3 linked regions of the Canis lupus familiaris genome follow. The protein of the gene in region 3 purifies or fractionates together with the protein of the main gene of each other region. This does not show direct contact. Links are inferred from orthologs where the notes say so. Each region holds a gene or a part of one and is shown on either strand. Other genes may lie near its edges.

Region 1 (6,919 bases), on a different chromosome or scaffold from region 3:
ACTCTTAGACAACTAAGAGGTCAAAGATGGAAAATAATTTCTCCTAACACCAAGTTAGAAAATCATTTGCATCATGCTGTAAACTAGGAAGCAATGTAAAGCGACAAAAACCTGTCCCCAGTACATAATTAAAAAAATCTAAATTTCAAATCAGCAGAGCTGGTCTACTTCCATGTTGACTATATGCCACAATAGACATGTGAGCTCCTTAAATGCATAGCTAATGTAGGTAGTCTTCCACTGTGGCAAATGCACAGGATCCGATTCCCGATCGAGCCATCAGACCTAGACACTGTGTGGCCTGTCCCATTGCGAGGGCAAGTGGAGGTTGCTTTGGCAGATTGTGGGTTTCTGAGGAAAAAGGATTCAAAATGAAACAGCAGTTAGCAAGACATTTTCTAAAAGCAGGGAAAATACTGCCTTACCTTAAAGATTACTGATACCTACGCTGTTCTTCATGACCTAACTAGCGATGGTAATTTCTAAGCAAATGAGGATTGTGTTGGACATGCTACTCTGGATGATGCGGGTATTGGGTATTCAACTGTTAAGAATTCTTGCAGATTTAGACTTAAAGCTTTAGATACTTAAAGATGTGATTTCTTACCTGCTAATTCAGTGAGGAGTAAGGAATATTTAGTGTTCCTCAACTTGACTAAAGTCAGTTGACTTAACCAGAAAAAGACACCAGGTTTTCAGTAAAAGTTCACTGTTGGATTCTTACCCCTTTTGGGGAGAGGACCCAGCTGAGGCTGTCTCCAAGGCACTTTGGTGAGTGTTACTTGGGTTTCTGGGGGCAAATGGTGTTGGCGGCCATAAGAGGCAACAAGAGCAAAGCCACCCTCTAATCTCGGAGGGAGTTAAATTTATAATTGGTAGATAAAATATTTTAAAAATTGCCAATAAATTAGTTTTCAGGATCATACATACCATACCAGAAATTTGTCAGACAACTGTAGTACAAATGTAGTTAATCACCAAAATCTGTTCTTTGCCATAGATGAAAAAACGAATTACTGGTGAAAGTGGCCAACCACTTAGCAGCTGGTGATCCCTTCTTGGGTAGAGATGTCCACATTTTAAGTTTATGCAGATTCCCAATTTATAACAATTACTAATCAGTCTTGTAGACACAGTTGACAACAAAGGGCAAAAGCCATGACACTGGCTGGTAATGCTCCATGACTAGTTCTACTCTGGATTCCAAGTTTGCAATGTGGCGAGAGAAAGAAAAGTTCCAGAAGGAATGGAGCCCCCACCTCCAAATAAAAAGCAAATTCAGGATTTAAAGGCACAAGAGAAAATAGGATCAAGAATGTAAGAATGACTTAAAAAAAAAGAAAAGAAAAAGAATATAAGAATGAAATAATGCAAAAAAACAAAAAACATACAGATTAGTCAGGAAGTATGGTTTGGAAAGTGGTCCGTGGGTTAGGATTAAGTCCTGGCTATTCTTTGTCAAGATACTTGTTAAAACTTTGATAGTGGTAAGCATTTTTTGCCAAGTCTAATATAAGCAGGACTGGCTTTTACAGTTCTGCCTGGAGTCAGGAACAATTTTTATACACAAAACCATCATAACAATAAAAACTGAAAAGGAAACATCTTTTCAAAAATGTTGCTTGATGCTTTATAGGGAAGTAACCTAGCTCGAAGGTAAGCATCTAAGAGGTACTTTATTATAATTTTCTTGCGGGGAGGGGGGTAGCGGCAGCATGTGGTTTAAGCTAAATCTTTATAATTTTTTTGGATATAGAACTTGTAGGAATTAATGTGACAACTTTAAGCACTAATTAAAGTTGTAAAATATCACGATATTTATAAATGCACATTCACCCACAGCAATTAATCTTGTCATTAATTTTGTAGGAATATATGATTATAAATTTAAGTACTATTTATAGCTGAACCTACATACTACAAAATACATAGCACAGTAAGAATACATATATCTTGCATAAGGGTGCTAAAAAATTTAATACCTAATAACTGAATTCCTTTAAAGAACCCAAGATATAAAAAACTGTCCTAAGAAAACTAGTTCCTCCAGAAATTCTTTCCAGAAGATGTGGTATATATACACAATGGAATATTACTTGGCCACAAAAAAAGAATGGAATCTTGCCATTTGCAAAAATGTGGATGGAGCTAGATAGAGGGTATGCTGCGAAGCAAAATCAGTCATAGAAAGACAAATACCATGTGATCTCACTCTGGAATTTAAGGAAACAGATGAACATATGGGAAGGGGGGAAAAGAAAGGGAAGCAAACCATTAAGACTCTTAAAGATCGAGAGCTGAGGGTGGATGGAGGGAGGTGGGTGAGGGATGGGCATTAAGGAGGGCACTTTCATGATGAGCCCTGGGTGATAAATCACTGAATTCTACTCCTGAAACCAGTATACACCATATGTTAACTAAAATGTAAATGAAAATTTGGAGGAAGATGAGAATAAAAGCAAAGAAATGAAAATTCTTTCCAAGTCGGAGGGATACCTAAATACGAAGCAATTAAGCCTTCATGATTACCTATCACAGTAATTTCAAAAACGCTGTAAGCCAGAATTTGCCCTATAATCCCAGCACTGCTAGTACATTCTATTTTTACCAATCAAGTTAAATGAATCTCATGACCTAAGAATACAACACATTATCCAAAGAAAATTCACATTATTTTTTATTTACAAATTCTAAATTTAAGAAAACACCACAAAAGATGCCTTTAAAAAAAAACAAAACTGTTCTCATTCTAAAACCTCCATTATGTATACTTAATACACAATGAATTAACAGTCGGCCCTTGAGAAGCAGGGGTTTGAACTGCATGGGTCCACTTCCATGTGGGTTTTTAATATCGTTACAGTATCATAGATGTATTTTCCCTTATGGTCGTCTTCCTATCTTTAGGTTTACTATAAGAATAAGGTGTAAAATGCAGGTGACATACAAGATACGTGTTCATCAAGTGCTCATGTTGTTGGCAGGGCTTCCAGCCGAGAGCGGGCTATTAAGTTTTAGGGGAGTCAAAAGTTATATGCAAATTCTTCCAAGGTCAACTGCACTTAACTCTGTAAGAGCAAATAAACGGACTAATAAGGCTCAAATATGAATAGCTGCTTCCTTTACATTCTGGCCCTGAGCCCTGCCCTCTACAGTCTCCCGCTCCCATATCTACAACAGTCTGAAACCTGTTCCTAAAAGCCCCCAAACCCGACAGGCTCAAGTTGCAAGAAAAGACTATTAATGTGGAGTCTCATTTTAGAATCAGATTCTAAAGTCAGGTGAAAAAAATCATTCTTCTTTATAAATTATCTTTGAAAAGAAATTACAAGATAGTTTTACCTAGACAGCCCTGTAGAGTGTGTATGTAAATGCACAGAATGCTGCAGGCTTCATATATGAAGTGTGTTTGTTCGGTAGGTAAGTACGATCATCACAGTCTGTGGCGATCGAGTTGCTGGCGGGAACGGCAACTTCCCGTGCCTCACGCAGGCTCACCTCTGGCCAAGCCTCACTACTGAAACCCTTTCCTTTCTCCTCCATCCTTTTTATTTGCTAAGGGCATCTCGTTGAATATGCTGAACTTTATCACAAATACACTGCTCCTCTGGGGGCTGGTGCCGACCGCATGGCACGCTCACGTCACCTGGAAGTCCTTCTGTCTGCATTTTAAGCACAGTGGGAGCTGCGGGAAGTGTGGTTCAGTCCAGAAATGCTCATATATAACACGCACACAAAAGCCTCTATTCTCCCAACTTCCCAAGGTGGATCCCAAAGTCCTGGGGTTTTTTTGTTTTTGTTTTATTCCATGTGAATCCATTTCATCTGGAACTGAGATCATGGAGGGGAAGGTTTCTGTATTTCAAAATAATTTTAACTTTTAAAATGCTGAAAGCATTACCCCTTAAGATTTTACCAAAATACAGCTCCCAGCGCAAATACCATCTCAAGTATTCAGAGAATCTAGCTGAAGCTGTGCTTTACTCACCTAATATTGCACTGTTAAGAGCTGAGCACACAGGTTCTCTCTGAATTGGGTCAAGCTGATTTCCAACTGGGCTGTTCCAAGGATCCGAATAAGCGAGTAAACTGAATGCATCCTGTTGAAAACATAGTTTGGTTTTTAATTCTAACATTTAAACTACTGTGGTGCCCCTGCGGCTACCAAGTTGAGAGACAAGTAAAATACACAGCTTGGTGGCGTGAGGCTGCTGTAACATTTAAACCCACTTACCCCCTAGGACTCTGAGGCTACATATTCTTTACCAATTAGATGATGCAACAAGGCCGATGCTGCTTTCATTGGTCTTTACTATAAACAGCCATTCTCATTAATCGTCTCCCACCCCTACAACACATATACATCAGCAGAATGAAAAGGAATTCTGGAATGGGCTAAAGAGGAAGACAGAAATATCCAGATGCTAATTTATTACCACTGATCCAAATTTAACACTAAAAGGATAGGGCCTCCCTGTAGATTTTTTTAAAAACAGATGTGGGAACTCGATACATCTCACTGGACGTCCTTTTCTCACTCAGGAATCAAAAATTTCAACTGGTCCCCTTCACAAACATGCAGTAGTCCCCACCATCCTCAAGCCACCCTTCCTAAAGTGACAGATGATCTTTCCAATCAAGGACTCTTTGTCTTCTTTCCACTGAGGTGCCTGTTACAGTTTCAGACGCTGGTTTCCAGTTGAAGCTGCACTGTCAGCTGCGGTGTGGCCTCTGTGAGCAATGGCCTAAGTGTCCGTTTCCTCACGTGTCTACAGAAAAGGCTACTTGAGAACGTCATAAGGACGAACAGCTCAATGAAGTTAGCAACGTCAGTTCACTCTAATCTTTCAACATGTCTTTTTTTTTTTTTTTTTAAGATTTTATTACAGAGAAAGAGAAAGGGCATGGGGAGGGTCAGCGGGAGAGGGAGGAGGAGGCTCCCTGACTGAGCAGGGTGCCCAACGTGGGGCTCGATCCCAGGACCCTGGGATCAGGACCTGAGCCGAAGGCAGACGCTTCACCCACTGAGCCACCAAGGCGCACCCCCCTCCCCCGAGGTGTGTTATTTTGCCAAAAGTCAGAGCCCTAACCTGGAGCAGCAGTCTAGACCCAGAGAGGCAAATCACAGATGCCTTCCCCATTCCGAAGGCACACGTGGAAAAGTGCTGAGGCAGCTGTAGGTCGGTGAGGTAACACTTTCAAAATGCTGATTAGGGACCCATGAAAGGCTGAAATTCCTAGAGCAAAGTATTCCCAGGTGCAGCTGCGTGGACATTCCTCTAACCTACTTCCTACCGTGTGAAAGCAGAGGTGGGGGTAAGGTTTCCAGGCCCGGGGGACTCTGGCCCTTCTCACCCAACCAGCCTGTGTCGGGGAGGTGGGGGTGGGGGTTAGAGGCCCCTAAGGCGCCAGCTGTGCAGCCTGAGGCCACCAGAAGGGAATACACGCCCCCTACACACACGCGCGTGCACACACACACACAGGCAGTTTCCCCGCGTTGAAGGTCTCATCCATGTCAGACAGCTTGGCCCCGTTTTTAGAATGAAAGGTCTCCGAAGAGAAAAATTTACTGCCCTATTTTGAGTGCCCTGCAGCTACTTGTACGTGCCGGGAACAGGGAGGAAGCTTCGCACACCTGCTCATCACAAGATCTGCTTCTTACAGGCACCCTGCAGAGCGACTCGGTTCTGTTTCTGTTTCTGGGTGCCCCCACCCCCGAATTTACTGATGGAGGGAATATTCATGTCCTACCGCCCGGAAGCCGACTCCAATCAGTGGCATGCTTTCTGAGGGACTGATCTCTGCTCAAGACTTGACACCCACAGCCCCGCCCGGGGATCACTCCCACAGAACAGATCTAGTTCTCAGGCATCCTCAAGGACTGCCCAAGGAACGACGGGCACGTAAAAACCTTTAAGCACAAAACTATCCCCGTGGGTCTATAGACGCAGGCACGCTACCAAAAGGAGAAATGCTGCAGTCCCAAACCTCAAATCCAGACCATTCTTCTGTTTACACCTTCTAGTATTTTAAAGAAAAGCTCATGGAAAAAGGCGACGAAGGTAGTCATTTACCCGCATGGATACCGGTGACACTAGTAATTTGTTCTCATGTTTCAATACAATCGAATGTCCGTTGCACGCAGCCGCAGTCACCAGGACCCAGGAGCTCTCAAGGACTCAGACACACTGGGCCTCCGGAGGGTCCGAGCGGTCGCGGCGGGCGAGCGGGGCCACCTGACACCGCAGAGCAAGATCCGGGGCGGCAAGGCCGGGAAGGGAAGGCATGGATGGAGGCAGAGGTAAGGGGGGGTGTCCTAACGGGCCCCTAAATCACACTAAACAGCTTGGATTTGTTTTCCGACGTGGCGGTGGAGCTTTAAATCGAGGACCGATGTGGATAAAACCGGACTTCAGGAGGACGGCGGCAGCGCCGCGGAACCACGCCCCGAGTCAGGTGAGGCTGACCGCAAGACCACCACCACCACCACCTTAAAAGGAGAAAAAAGGGGGGGGCGCCTGGGGGGCTCAGTTGGTTAAGCGGCTGCCTTCAGCTCAGGTCCTGATCCCAGGGTCCTGGGATCGAGTCCTGCATTGGGCTCTCTGTCCCTCCCCCTGCTTGTGCTCGCGCTCTCTCACAGAGAAAATCTTTAAAAAAAAGAAAAGAAAAAGAAAAAAAGGTTTATACCTCCAGGTTCTTCACAAAGAGAATGAAATCGAGGCAGCGACATTAATGCTTTAAATCCCGCAGTAAAACTTAACTGAGGTGGTGACCAAAGAAATGCGAACAAGCAATTTTAAGGTCTGATGTGGAAGCCACTAGTACATCAATGCAGTACAGCCTCTGGCACTTTCCTTTTCTACTGGTGGTGAGCTGCTAGAGTTTCTGGAAAGCAGTGCAGCAGTATACAGCAAAAGCC
Region 2 (7,095 bases), on a different chromosome or scaffold from region 3:
TCCTTGGAGGGAAGTCAGTAGTCAGTACGGTGCCAGTCCCTAAGCAGGCTTGCTGGGACAGGCAATGGGAGAGGTGGAGCTGCCGCAGCTGTGTTGAGCAGGGAATGATACTCTCAGCTTACAGTGTGCTTATATGTGTTTATATGTGTGCTGGTGTGTGTTCATATGTAGTATTTGCCAAGACTGACAAATAACTTGTATCCTGTGATTTCATGCAACTTCATTTTATGAACATTGTTAATGGCTGGATTATCTTGGAGACGAATTTACCACAAGCTCCTTGGCCAGCTTCCCTTGGTGGGAGGTTGAGGTTATTTCCTCTCTTTTGCTTGTATAGGCAACCCTTTTTAAGTAAAGAGCTTTTCACACTTAAGATTATTTTCTTGGTGTCCTTTCAAGAAGTAGAATTACTGAGTCACTGGACTGTACATATTAGTGGCTCCTGATGTGCATGTGGACTCATCTGAACCATGTTTTGTCAAAAATGTTTGCCCTTGTGTTTATAATAACATAGTTATTATAATTATCTGGAGTGTAAGATAAGTACATAATTTCATAATCAGAGGTTTATTTCATTGACTTTTTACTCTATGCTAGGCACTCCCTACGTATCATCTCATTTACTCCTTAAAACCTGAGGGGACACAGCTGAACTTCTGTGCCTTTCACATTTGTGTTTGGCAATTACAGTAATGACACTGGACACATGTTTATACCAAGGGATTCACTTCTGTGCATATCAGATGTGAGGGCTCCCCCTTCTGCTCTACATGGGTGTGTATGCACATATACACACATGTGCCACCGCTCAGCCAGCTGCGAGTGGGATCAAATGGCTACTGAGTGTTGCACTCGTCCAGGTCATTCCCCGAAGATTGTGCTCCTATTGGCCCTGTTGTTGCCTGTATCTTGGCTTCTTGGGCCCCTGACTTGTGGTGTATGGTAGAGTAGCTTGGGTCACGGGTTAGCTCCCCATCACCCTCTAGAGCCAGCACTCCTGAAGGCCAGGTTCACCTGCTGAGCTGGAATGCTTAATGCTGGGCATGTGGGACGGTCTGCAGAGGAGCCCCTCTATCTATAGAAGGCACTCACATGGCACACATCACTTCTGTCTGGGCAGCTCCTAAACTGCTTGGCTGGCTGCCACTCCAGGAAGCCTCAGAGACACTCTTGGCCATCTCTGGGCTTGGCCACAGTTCACAGGAGGCAGCCGCTGCTGTAAGGAGACGGTATGTGCCTCTGCGACTGTTTTTGTTACCGTACTTGCCCACTTGTTGGCAGCATATTCCAGAGAAACTGCAGCCCCTCCTCCAAGCCATGAGAACAGCTGTGGGGCCTACCCCCTCCGCAGCCTGACTTGCATGAGCACCGGGGGATGTTTTTATTTTGTTGCAGCCTCTTTTTTTTTTTTTTTTTTTAATTTTTATTTATTTGTGATAGTCACAGAGAGAGAGAGAGAATGAGGCAGAGACACAGGCAGAGCGAGAAGCAGGCTCCATGCACCGGGAGCCCGACGTGGGATTCGATCCCGGGTCTCCAGGATCGCGCCCTGGGCCAAAGGCAGGCGCCAAACTGCTGCGCCACCCAGGGATCCCCTATTATAGCCTCTTTATTCTCGTTCTATGGAGGTTGCACCTCCAAGATGTGTTTCAGGAAGCCCAAACAGGGAGGTAGCTGGTCCTATCAGATGATCAGTGAGAAATGCAGTTCTAGAGTGTCACCTTGAGCATTTCCTTTCTTCTAGCATGGTCTCATCTTACCTGGTGCATCATGGGTATTGTGCCACAGCCACGGCTTTTGCCCGAATGACTGAAACCCCGATTCAGGAAGAACAAGCATCCATAAAGAACAGACAAAGTAAGGTTGATTCTCCTCTCCCCTCTCCCTCCTTCCCTCACCTGTCCCTAACTCTGCTCTCTGGCTTGTGCCAGCCTCGGGTAACCTGTCAGGAGTCCATTCGGCTCTGGCCCTGCCCAGCCAGTACAGCCCCAGGCTCTGCTTCTGCCCCTCCTTCAAGACAGCGCTGCCCAGGCGGACAGCCCGGCAGCATGGGAATGAGTGCCTCAGTGCGGCCTCCCTGCTGCACACTCTGATGGCCCGGCCCAGGCTGGGGCCCGGCATGGCTGACTCTCACTCCTCTGTGCCTGTTTTCCTTCCCCCGAATCCTGGATTCTAACAGCCTCCTGCTCCTAGTCTTCTGGAAGAATGTGTTTGCATCTTAGCAAACCAATGTCTTGCCTTTCCCCTTTACTCAGCTTTAGTCGTTATGTCTGTTCCTGGCCAGAGAAAGGATTGACGTAGTCAGACAGGGTGAAGGCTGGTTCTCAGTGGCTGCTGGGGTAGCACCTCTCTCTGCTTCCACCTCTGGTCCTGCGTTTTACAGACCACCAAAGGAAGGAGCCAAAGGAAACTATACTGGCCTGTAATGTGTTTGGGGCTCTTTTGTGGAAAGAGGGTGCTGGGAAAGAGGAAACAGAGCCCAGAGAGGAGATAGGAAGAGAAGAGGAGAGTGAAGGAGAGCAGGTGTGTGTGGATGTGTATGTCTGTGTGTGCCTGCTTGTGTCTCTGAACCTGTCGTCTCTGTGTATGTGCATGTGTCCGTGTCTCCCAGAGAAGCTCCGCCCAGCCAGCCAGATGGAAAGGGATCCCAGACTTGGGATCTACAAATGAGAACCTCAGACCCAGAAGTCGCTCCCAGCAAGATACACCAGGCCCCAGAGCAAGAGCAAGATGCTGATGGCCTGAGAGGTGTCAACATCAGAGATGCCAGTGTGAGGAGGGTGACCTCCTCTCCCAGCAGGGAGCATGCTGAAGCCTCTGAAGATTGCCAAGACTTGGGGCCTGGCCTAGAAACCATTGTGCTCCCATTGCCACCCCATTGTGAGGCCTGAAAGGAGAGAAGTCTGTCTGAAGAGGAGCACCTAGGGATACCAAGCAGCCTGGGTGCCCAGCTCCAGATCATGCCCCCAGAGCCAGAGCCCCTCCCCATGCCCGGGGCCCTGGCTGTCTGACCTCCATAGGAGCAGGCCTCCACATTTGTTCTCCTGCCTCTGCATTGAGTCCTGCCTCTGTTTCCCTCTGTCATTCTTTGAGGACTCCCTGAAACTTGGCAGAAACCAGGGTCTGTTGTGGGGCTGGGAGGCCAGGTTCTTTCTTCAACCTCTTCTGTGAGCATCTCAACCAGGCATGCCATTTTGAGCCAGCCCACCTGACTGTTGGCTAGACCATGCTTGGGGCTGGTAGTGTGCAGGCATGTGGCTGTGAAGAAGGTCTGCAGCCCTTCACTCACTGCCATACTCTTGCTCTCTGCAGAGATCCAGAAGCTGGTGCTGGAGGGCCGTGTGGGTGAGGCCATTGAGACCACACAGCACTTCTATCCAGGACTGCTGGAACATAACCCTAACCTGCTCTTCATGCTCAAGTAAGTTTTGAGCACCACCAGTTCCCTCCTAGCCCAGCCCCTCTCAGCTGGTGGTGGGAACATATGGCCCAGACCAAGCCCAGAGCATTGCCGCTCTGCTCCCTCTGCAGGTGCCGACAATTTGTGGAGATGGTGAATGGGACTGACAGTGAGGTCCGCAGCTTGAGCTCCCGAAGTCCCAAGTCCCAGGACAGCTACCCTGGCTCCCCCAGCCTCAGCCCCCGACACGGCCCTAGTAGTTCCCACATGCACAACACAGGTCAGCCACTCTCCAGAGGGCTCGGGGAAGCACTGGTGTGGAGAAGGAAGGCCACCTACATGCCCTTCCCTGGGCTTGGCTCAGGGCCCAATGTTGGATGTGGGGGAAGGGAAATGGAACCACTGTGGTTATTCCTGGGGCCCCATTATGGCAAACTGCCCCACCTCTTCTGACTGTCCCCTGGTTTCCAGGAGCAGACAGTCCCAGCTGCAGCAATGGCATCGCATCCTCGAAGAGCAAACAGAACCACAGTAAATACCCTGCACCCAGCTCCTCTTCTTCCTCCTCGTCTTCCTCATCCTCCTCATCCCCATCATCTGTCAATTACTCCGAGTCCAACTCAACAGATTCCACCAAGTCCCAGCCCCGCAGCAGCACCAGTAACCAGGAGACCAGGTGCCTGTCCTGCTCTGCTTCCTCTGTGCCAGCTGGGCTCACTGTAGCCTGTTTTGAGTGCCACACCCCATGCTCTAAATCCCCCACCTCCATCCCTGGTCTGTGCCTGGAGTAGCTGCTACTGACTTGCCAGGCCAGGCATTGACTCCAGCTTCTGGCGCTACCTGTGGCCTAGCTACCACTTTCCTCAGCCCTGACTTTCTCAAGAGACACTGCCAGACTGAGATAACGCCAGGGTGAGGATGTCTCCTCACGGGAGACCAGGCCTAGCAGAACCCCTAGGATCTACACTGAAGAAGCGTTTACTGGGTATGGCTTGAGATCAGACAGATGGGGCAGCAGAGTAAAGTTTTAGGCTGTAGACTACAGGTGGCTTTCAGCAGCCCCCAGGCATATCTCAGTGCTTGACCTGAGTTTGGTGCCTAGAGATACTTCTCAGGGGTCCCTGGTCACTGGGGATGGGGGAGGAATGGGTAGAAGGGATGTGCCAACTCAGACAAAGGCCAGGAAGAGGAAAGCCACAGAGGCAGCATTGAGACAAGAGTGAAAATCAGGTGACAGGTTTCTGGGGATAGCTGATACCAGAGTAGGCACCAAGTGTTGGAGCCTAAGAAGCCTTTCATGCTCCTAGGGTCCCTTGATTTTCCCTACAGCAACCTATGGCTGAAGCCTGAATGGAGGCCTAGCTAGGCTGCGCCTAACCACATGCCTGTGGCCAACTCCCACCTCAACCTTTCTCCACAGTGACAGTGAGATGGAGATGGAAGCAGAGCATTACCCCAATGGTGTGCTGGAGAGTGTATCTACACGCATTGTCAATGGCGCCTACAAACATGAGGACCTACAGACAGATGAGTCCAGCATGGGTAAGAACCATGGCCCAGCATGGTGTTACATGGGTGGTAATAGCTTAGTCCAGATGCCTTTGCCCCCTGGGAGGGGATTGGCATGGACAGGCTTTGTCAGCCTGAGAAGCTTTAAACGGACCTGGTCCACTGCTGCCTTAGTCAGTCAGGAACGGGTGTTTGAAGCGGGAAGGTCCCTGGCCTGCTGCTGAGAGCAGGGCCCCTGCGTCTGAGGCTAGAGGGAGTTGGTGAGAGTGGGCATTCTTATGAGCACTGTACAGAGTGGGAAGGAGAGAAGCTGAGTCCAGACTCCCAGTCACATGCTAGGTGGACAGAAAGCACCTCAGCTATGGATGGTCCACCTAACTTGCCTCTGGCAGTGCCACCAAGATCCTTATTGCCATCTCCTTTTTGGGGTCCCCACGCCAGTCTCCTCTCCTCCTTATCCCTCATGATTTGTTCTCTGCTGGGCTCTGGGTGCAGATGATGGGCATCCTCGGCGGCAACTCTGTGGGGGCAACCAGGCTGCCACAGAAAGGATTATCCTGTTCGGTCGCGAGTTGCAGGCACTGAGTGAGCAGCTGGGCCGGGAGTACGGCAAGAATTTGGCCCACACGGAGATGCTGCAGGTATAGAACAAGCCAGGTGCTCACACAAAGCAGACCCCCATTTGGTATGGGGGTGGGGCAGGTCAACCCTGGGAGGGCCTTGGGGGCAGCAGCAACAGGACAGAATGGGCTCTAGTCAAGTCCACAATGGGAAACGGGACATCCAGTATAGACACAACCCTCTCTAGGTCCTGGAGAGGGCACAGTCCTTTCTGACCCTATGCTCAGGGTTTGTGGTGCCCTCAATGGGGCCTGTATGGGCCCTGTATGCCCTCCGGAGCCATGGAGGTGTTTATGGGTGTGGTATGTACCACAGTCCTCTCAAGAATGCCCTGTCCCTTAGGATGCCTTTAGCCTGCTGGCATACTCAGACCCCTGGAGCTGCCCTGTTGGCCAGCAGCTTGATCCCATCCAGAGGGAGCCTGTGTGTGCTGCCCTTAACAGCGCCATTTTAGGTAAGTGGATCTAACAAAAACAGAAGCTGGTCCATGAGTGCCCTAGGTGGCCCCTCCACTCTTTCCCCAGGAATTGCTGATGTTTGTTCAAATCAGGTCAGTGAGCTCTGCCCTGGCAATCTCTGGTAGCCCAGAGGACTTGGGTTTCCATGGCTGAACCTAAATCCTGACCTCCTTCTGCCCAACTGACTTGGCTGACTACATCATGATAGACCCGGGCTTATGACTGTGGGCCTGGCCAGCCCATGGCTCTGAAGAGAGCTTAGGTCCTTAGGTTCCTGGCATGGCTACGGGGCCATGAGCTGGTGGTTGGGACATACACAGAGACATATGAACACTGTGTTTTAAGGGATTCTGTCCACTGCCCCTACTTTCTGCTCCCAAGGGAACTTTGCCCTGAGCCCAACTCCTGGGCAAAGCAGTGACCAGGCCTTGTCTCTCCTCCACAGAGTCTCAGAACCTGCCAAAGCAGCCCCCTCTGATGCTCGCCCTGGGTCAGGCATCTGAATGTCTACGGCTCATGGCCCGAGCAGGCCTGGGATCTTGTTCCTTTGCCAGAGTCGACGACTACTTGCACTAGCAGACCATGCCAGCTGGCCCCACCTGGCCCTCCCTCAGCCCCAGGGCTGGAGCAGCCCTGCCCTCCATAGGCATTTGGCGCAGGGACCTGGAAGCCATGGGCAGAGTCCATTCCTCCTGCCTGGCCTCCCCCACTCCCTTTCCTGTCCTTTCATCCTTCCCTCCCTCCCTCCCTTCCTTCCTTCTTTCCTTCCTTCTTTATTTCCTGCCTGCCTGCCCTCCCTCCCTCCTTCATTCCTTCTTCCTTTTCCTTCTTCCCCCCACCCCCACCCTCAGTTTCTCTCTCCCCTTCACGTGCAGCGGCCTCTGACACAGTATTGGCTGGTTACTCTCATGTAGCGCCTTCTACTTTGAAAGGGGGGTCTTGTTTTTGAGGAGGGGTTGGGTTTTTTTAATCTTTTTTTTTTCCTCCTGACTGAGCCACCAGTATTTATCTCTGGAGAGCTTGTGCTGAGCTGGTTTCTGCTAATTTAGTGATGAAGCCTATCCAAGTTGGTGATAGCTTATTATTTTCATAAGTAAAAAAATGAGA
Region 3 (7,869 bases):
AAAGGTATTTGAATGAAGACAAATGCATTTTAAAATAATTAATTACAGAAAATTTATATGAAAGAATTTCAGGCTATGTAGAGGCAATTTAGAGCAGATGAAAGAAATGTTAGGGCTCACTGCAGGACTATGTGTAGGCCAGTTGCCAGGTGAGCCCCCTTTGGCCAGATTTTATTCACAATCTGGAATAAAAGTGGTGAGAGTGGACAAGGGTCGTCAACAGACTTACTAAATAACCCATTTAGTAAAATCAGTTTCCACCACAAACTATTCTAACTGTCCTCATTTAGTACAGTTGTTCATACTTTGGAAAAAAGATATTTAAACATAAGAAAAATAGGGGATCCCTGGGTGGCTCAATGGTTTGGCCCCTGCCTTCAGCCCAGGGCGTGATCTTGGAGTCCCGGGATCGAGTTCCACATCGGGCTCCCTGCATGGAGTCTGCTTTTCCCTCTGCCTTGTGTCTCTGCCTCTCTCCCTCTCTGTGTCTCTCATGAATAAATAAAATCTTTAAAAAAAAAAAAAAAGCGTATAAACATCAGAAAATATAAATCATCCTTAAAAACTTAACTAATCCCTTGACCATAGCTAAAAAGGTATTTCTGAATCAGGCAGTTACTCACCATCAGTATGATACCATGATCTATATGGTTCCCAAGATTCTACTTTATTCACATCATATTCTTACAAGAATATTATCACAACTCCAGAGAATGAGATCCAAAGCCCAGACAGATGGTCCCAATTGGAGCCCCTCTCTCAGATCATAGGAGCTCACAAGATCAATTGCCCAGACAAATATATTCAAACTTGAAAATGGAGTTCCAAATTCAGATTTCAGTAGACATGACTTTAGGAAGGGTATATCTAAGATACAAATGTAATAAACACCACATCACTAGCAAAGAATATCAGAAATTACCTGCTTTGAAAATTCCTATAATCTAGATACCAAAGCACGATGTCTGCCTTCACACATAAGAATACTGTAAGAAAAAAAAAAGAGTCCACTTTGGAAACCAGACCTGGTATTTATTTTTCTTTCGTGTTTCATAACTGCCTTTAGTCATGTAATCCTATTATTAAAAAATTAAAGAAAATCAAAGAAATAGTAATATCAAACTGCAATTTGGTAGACAAGACAGTAAAAAATAGGTGGCTGAGAAAGGAACATATGTAATTCACCAAGTCAGACCATTTGAATAGTATGGCATACTCTGTGGCTAATACCCTCACACCATATATTCCTTGCGAAACTCCAATACCAAGCAAAAACAATCTGTCTAAAGCAAACTCCTGCTTCAGCATTTTCTGCCAATTATTTTATCCATCTAAGATAGGCCCCAAATTCCCTAAAATGAGGCTTGCAATCACATTCCCCTTTAATTAATACCACCCCCCTCCTTTTTTGTAGGAAGATATTTTACTTTCCATCTTCTCTCTCAAATTTTGCCTATCCAACCCCTCAATCTCTGACCTGGTCCCTAAAAAGGAAACGCTCCTTCCACCTCTCCAAGTTTAGAACCTTCACTCATTCTCTACCTTCCAGTCTTTAACAAGACAAAGATTTCCTGTAACAGATGGGCAGGAAGGTGGACAGAGACAGAGGGACACAGGCACGCACACACCCCTCCCATTCCTGTACTTAAACAGCCTTGGGCCTCCTTACACTTCAGTTCACACATTTTTCTTTACACCCACTAATCTAGTTTATTTTAACTCTTTGAAGCTGCAAGCACAGAGGGTCACTGACTTCCAATAGCCAAATACAAGCTGCACAACCTCTCTTTTTCTAAGCTCCTGCCTTTTCTGCTTCTGCTGGCTCCTCCAGCTCTCTCTCCAAGAGGCGTTCAAGGTGTGGTTAGACCCTACAGTCTTTCTTCCCTGCTGCCTACGTGACCTCCTTCACTCTTCTCTGTAGAAATACTAGGAAACCATCTTCGATCATACTTTCCCCAATTCTAACCATGCATCTTTAGCCACCAGTGAACATTAAGTTCTTGATTCTGTCTTCACTAGCCCTTCAGCTTTATCTCACATGCCCCAAATCAAATTCACCAAAGCCTTCCCAGGACCCCCCATCCAACTCCACCTCGGCTTCCCCTTCACAGGCAGCCAACTCCACCTCGGCTTCCCTTCACAGGCAGCCAACTGGTCTGCTTATTTTTCCATATTAATATTTTAACTCCCATTCCCACTACGGTTGCAGGCTCACTTCTTATCTGGACTTCAAAAGTGACTGCCATGTTCAGAATAAGAGGTTTTCAGACTCCTTTATTATGGGCTAGCACTTCCCCTCCACTGAAAGGAGTCTAGAAAGAAAGACGTAGGAGAGGAAAGGAGGGGAGAGGCTCAGCTGCACCACTGTCTTCACCTCACCCTATGTAACAGCATTTCATCCCAGCTACCAAACTTTCCATAAATTGCTGTTCAGCTAGGAGTTGAGAAGGCTCCTCCAAACTCTTGAATGAACCCATTAAATAAAGTCCTTCATTTCTTGAGCAGGAGGAACACCACTATGAATATGTTACTCTAAGGATACCAGACCTTTAATGTTACTTAAAAAAAAAAAAAACAAAAACCCAAACCAAAAACCCTCCCCAACCAGCTTCCACAAGTTAACTTCCGCAAAGTATCTGCCCCCAGGTCCTAGAGCAATAAAGAAATAATCTAGGCAGACCACCTTCTACAGAAAATCGTGTTTTCTAAAAGGAAAACAAGTAAAAACTTGACCAGGTAAGGCAAGTATCTCACAACTTGCGCCACAATTTGCTTCAGGAAAGTTGCCTGTTCTTCCTCAGGCTACATTAGGAGAGCTGAACAGTTCGATTCGGCTCGTTTCCTAGGAATCCTGTCTGTGCTGCTGCGGAGCTAAGAGCTGCTTCCACACAAGAGTCAAATCGTGAAGTTGCAGCAACGGCTGTTCTGTTAACCCACAGCTAAGAATAACACTCGACTTTCTAATTTAAAAAAAGAACGGAAAGAAGAAGAAGAAGGGGTAAAAAAAAAAAAAAAAAAAAAAAAGACTTGGAAAGTAAGTCCCCGGACCAAGGATCTGGGGCAGAAGAAGGGGCTTCCGGCACTGACCCTCTTATCAACCAGAGCCTTGGGTCCAACGCACTTAGCGCACCTTCGACCGCGGGGACCTGAGCGCGCCCGGCCCGGGCGGGGGCGAGGGCCGCCCACCCCGGGACGGTGGCAGTTTGCAAGGGCCACGGACCAGCCCCCACACACGTCTAAGCCGGCTGGACCCCGTTCCGGGCTGGGTTTCCGGGTGGAGGGCGCTCACTCTTTATTGACAACGAGGTCGGGGCAGGTTCGAGGCAAATCGGGAGAAGGAACAGTCACAGGGGCAGGGGCGCGGGGTGGGGTGAGGGGTCTCCGCGTCTCGGGGGAGGCAGGGGCATCCCTCCTGGCCCGCCGGGGCCCGAGGGGCCGGGCCCTGCCCCGCGCGCCCACCCGGGCCGCCCTACCGTGGCTCTGCAGGATCTCGTGCTTGAGGCCGCCCGTGTAGTCGATAAGCTCCTCCAGGCCGCGCTCGCACAGCTGCCCGTAGCCCGAGAACTTGTGCAGCACCTTCTCCAGCTCGCGCTCCACCGTCACGCATTGATCCATCCCGGAGGCGGCGGCGGCGGCGGCGCTCGGCTCCCCGGCGCCCGGGTGTCCGCAGCCGTTCGGCCCGGGCCCGGCCGAGGCCGCGTCCTGCTCCTCGTCCCCCAGGCGGGCGGCGCGGGCGGCGGCGGCGGCGGCGACCGAGGCAGCGGGTGCGCTAGCCGCGGCGCCGGGGGAGCCCGGTGCAGCCCGTGCCCGCCTGCCCCATGCCCCCTCCCCCCGCCCCCGGAGCCTCGCCGCCGATCCCGCTCGCTCTCCGCACCCGGCCCCGCGACCCTGGTCCTCGCCCGCCGCGTTCGGCTGCCCGCGGCGGCGCCGCCGATTGTTTTTGTTTTCACGGGAACCGACCGATGACCTGGTTCTCCCGGGCGGCACCAAGCGCCGCCGACCCGAGGGGTGGGGGGAGCAGCCACCCCAGCAAGGGAAAGAGGCGGCGCGGGCCGTACCAAGCGCACCCTCGAGGGGGAGCCGCCTAGCGTTCGCGGGCGGAGGACGCGACGGCCGTCCGCTCACGCCGCCGCTCTAAAGGTGTGGGCAGTACCACGCGGGATGCGTGCGAGGGAGAGGGCGAGGGTGGAGCAAGAACCCAATTGGCCCGAGGAGCTCAAAAGGGAACTTTGGAGACAGCCCCGGCGCTCGCAGAGCGCTACAACTGCGCTCTCCGTAAACAAGAGGGTGGAAACCGTCCCTAACCACTCCGCCCAGAAACGGGGAAAAAGAACCAATGGGCGCGGGCGGTACGTAAGGGACCAACGTCCTCCAATCCCTGGCTGAGGCGTAAACCCTCAGCCAATCGTAGCCTAGGGGCCGAACCAACGGTCTCGCTGTTGGAGGGGGGTGACTTGGGGTGCGTACTGGGAAGCAAGTTATTTCGGGAAAGCCAGGAGGGAGAACGAGACAGAGGGGAAGGTCTGTTTTCGAAAGGAGTTCGCCCCGGTCATCATCTGTGTCCTCTCACCCGCACTCCTGGGACTACTGTTATTCCGAAGTTTGGGAAGACGGGACTCGTCGGACGGAAAACGGAGCCCGGCGGGGCGGGGGTGATGCCGGAGCACGGCCGAGGAGGGCTGCTCGGTAGCCGCGCGGGGCGGGCGCGGGGAAGGGCCCAGCGGGGCCGTCGGAGCTGCTGCGACGCTGGTGCCGCGGGGAGGTCGCGCTGCCCACCCCGCTGTCGGCCTCGGCGCCTCGGCCCCAGGGCTTGGACTCTCCCAGCCGGTAGCCGGCGCGCCGCACGGTGTGCGGGCAGCTCCACGCAGTGGAAAGCCGCGCGGGAGGGCGGCCCCGCCTGGCCCCTGCTCTCTGGCGCCTTATTCCATCCATACGAACTGAGTCACCTCCTCCTTGGCGTCAATCCTTCCCCGACCGCCGCGGGGTCTCCAGCCTCGGCCTGTATCCCCTCGCGCACTAGGCTCCAGTGGCGTTGTTAGCTTTCCTCGGAAAGCCGCATTAGTTAATCACCTCGGGGCCTCTGCGCTTAGCTCCTCGTTGGCCTGGAAAACGCGGACACCTTTCTCATCCTTGTCTCAGTTCACTTGTCCGCTCAGAGGACCCTCCCCTGACCACCCTGATAGGTACACCGCTCCACCTTCCTGCACTCCTCCAGTGTTGTGTCATATTTTTTTGTGTATATATATCAGCCGTATCACCAGTTTTCTTTCACACCATTTGTTAAAAGCTGAAATAACCGGGTTCGATTTTTCGTTTCCTTTTCCGCCAGCCCTTCTTCAGTAAATCCCCATAAAGGCAAGCCCCTTCCCCATCTTTATCTGTGCCCGAAAGTGGTGCCTAGCAACATAGTGGGCTTTTTTTTTTTTTTTTTTTTTTTTTGTAATTAAGGCGAAATCTTGTTGAGTCTCAATTTCCTTTTTTATAACTTGGAAATAACTGCAGTTAATAGTGCAGCATGGGATTCTTGGGAAATTAAGTGAGATATCATATGTAAACATTAATAGTAAGCAAGGAATAGCCATAGGAGAAATGGTGGTGGTTAGTATTGCCTGTTCCCAGAAGTAAATCTGAGATGGCAACCTAAAATGGAATCATGTTGATCTAGTCTCGAGTCAATTTATTCATTTCTTGGTGATTTTCAAGAGTGGCCCTAGCTATTGCTGTTATAAATCTCTTTTCCCCTCTCCACCAAACCAATTTTCTTTCTCCTCTTTCTTGGCAGATGGTCCCGATTGCTGTTTCACTGAGAAGATAAACATCCAGCTCCAGCATCCTCTGCCATTCTTCTCAGAGTATTTGTACCATCCGTTGTGAACTGTTGTCAAGTATTTGAAGGAATGAGAGTTTTTTCTACCTTCTAAGTTGCCAGCCTCGACTTGCTGGCTTCATCTCACCTTCCTCCAGACCTCCTTCCCCTCCTATATACTAGGTTCTTCCTTTCTGCTTTGAGACTGAATGGAACTGACCTACCTGGGGAATTGGGAGAGAGATGGTTTTTGTTTATCCCTTCTCAAATGCTTTCCTTTTCCTCTACTCTTCACTGCTAAACTGCCCAGACAAACCTTTTCACTTTTTCCTCCCTGACCTCCTTGATAAGCTCTCTCTTTTCTCAGTATTTTTTTTTTCCTCGAGCTCACCGCTACACAAGAAAATTCTGACTTACTCTCACCTGTAAAATTCTCCCTTGACATTGCCCTGGTAAAATAATTCAGTCACACCTTCTCCCTTTCTGGCTCATTTAGCCGTCTATGTGGGTGGGTATTTGCCTCAGGTTTTATCCTCAACCTCTTTTTCCTTTACCTGCTGTCCTGGGACAACACATTACAATTTCCCCTCTCCAGCCATAATCTGCCTCATAAACTCTAGCTTCACATTCCCTCCAACCACCAAGACAGCATCATCCAGAGGACTCATTACCTCCAAGGCAACATACTAAAAAAAGTGCATTATTTCTTTAAAAAATCAACTTTATTCCCTTTGACTCCTCTGTTTTTTGTCAGCATTACCTTATGTTTGTCAGCATTACCTTAACTCCTAGCTACAGCTACCACTTCTCCATCCTTATCTTTTGTTGAGTAACTTCTATACCCAACATGGGGCTTGAACTCAACCCCAAGATCAAGAGTCTCTTGCCCCACCGACTAAAGTTGGGTATCCCTCCATCCTCATCTTTAACTTACCTGCAGGACTCTCAACCCTTTATCAAATGCCTCGACTCCACTAACTTGTTTACATTGCTACCCATCTCCATCCTTCCCAAGATCCTTTTGCTAATTCAACTGCCTTCATTCACTCCCAGAATATTGATGTTCCTCAGGATTTTGTCCTCATCAGTATCCCTAGGGATACAGATTATCTTCTCCCTTTTTTATTCATCTTCCACATGTAGTCAAACATCAAGTTCTATTGAGTCTAATTTCCTAATGTCCTAATGTGGCTTTTTACTTCTGCATCCTCATCATTTGTAGCTTTGAGATATTTCTAAGATAATTGCTTCTCTTACCCCTACAGTGCCACCAAATGAATCTTTATTCTCCTCAAAAGGTTGTTACAGTAATTAAATGAGGTAATCTATCTAAAGCATTCAACATAATGCCTGACGACATAAGAGTTATTATCCACTGATCAGAAATAATCATACAAATAGCAAACTATGTTGTACACCTGAAACTAATATGTTATATATCAATTATACCTCAATTAAGAAAAAATAAAGAACCAATTACCCCCCCATTACCTACAGCTTCAAATCATAACTCTCAGCTGGATTGTCTGCCCAGTGTAGCAACCCATCACAATCCCCCCACCCAAAGACTGGACACTTTCACATTTTTAGAGTGAAGTGAGCATAGTTCACACATGTTTTTTCCTCTCCTGGAATGCCTTTCTTTGTCCAAAGCCATTCAAATCCTCCCCTTTCTTCAAGTAACAAGTCCCAACTTTTCTGATACCTTCTAAATCTTGGCCTGCATTCTTCAGTATGGTAAATCACCAACTGTATGTAGCTTTTAAAATTAAATAAAATTAGAAATTCAGTTCCTCAGTTCTACAGACCACATTTCAAGTACTCAGTAACCACATGTGATTAGTGGCTACTGTGCTAATCCATCACTGTAGAAAGTTATTTTGAAAAGTGCTGATCTAGAACGTGACCACAGTACAGTTACCAGCCAATCCTTGAACTGCTATAGGACCTCTGTGTTAAGTCATTTAATTCCTAAGTCTCTTCTTGTTTAACTTCTCCAGTTTGTTTACTCAATTAGATTGTTAGCTCCTAGATCCGGGCTGACTTTTCTTTTTCTCCCATAT

Evidence for each region. Proteins that work in one complex are often made in the same cells at the same time.
Region 1: the proteins of RMND5A (region 3) and RANBP9 purify together in Homo sapiens (affinity purification with mass spectrometry; 9 studies listed by BioGRID and IntAct, counting the BioPlex papers as one, with this or other methods). This does not show direct contact. The link is inferred for Canis lupus familiaris from reciprocal best matches to the Homo sapiens genes RMND5A and RANBP9.
Region 2: the proteins of RMND5A (region 3) and RANBP10 purify together in Homo sapiens (affinity purification with mass spectrometry; 4 studies listed by BioGRID and IntAct, counting the BioPlex papers as one, with this or other methods). This does not show direct contact. The link is inferred for Canis lupus familiaris from reciprocal best matches to the Homo sapiens genes RMND5A and RANBP10.

Annotation. Positions count from the first base shown.
Region 1 is NC_049256.1:14,364,779-14,371,697, forward strand, and holds part of RANBP9 (ran-binding protein 9), read right to left. Parts: intron 4,101-6,919; coding exon 3,989-4,100; intron 352-3,988; coding exon 221-351; 3' UTR 1-220. UniProt on the Homo sapiens protein: May act as scaffolding protein, and as adapter protein to couple membrane receptors to intracellular signaling pathways. Acts as a mediator of cell spreading and actin cytoskeleton rearrangement.
Region 2 is NC_049226.1:82,311,897-82,318,991, forward strand, and holds part of RANBP10 (ran-binding protein 10), read left to right. Parts: intron 1-1,744; coding exon 1,745-1,857; intron 1,858-3,312; coding exon 3,313-3,421; intron 3,422-3,531; coding exon 3,532-3,680; intron 3,681-3,871; coding exon 3,872-4,076; intron 4,077-4,820; coding exon 4,821-4,942; intron 4,943-5,404; coding exon 5,405-5,550; intron 5,551-5,872; coding exon 5,873-5,984; intron 5,985-6,433; coding exon 6,434-6,564; 3' UTR 6,565-7,095. UniProt on the Homo sapiens protein: May act as an adapter protein to couple membrane receptors to intracellular signaling pathways.
Region 3 is NC_049238.1:38,751,800-38,759,668, forward strand, and holds the start of RMND5A (E3 ubiquitin-protein transferase RMND5A), read right to left. Parts: upstream 4,142-7,869; 5' UTR 3,616-4,141; coding exon 3,474-3,615; intron 1-3,473.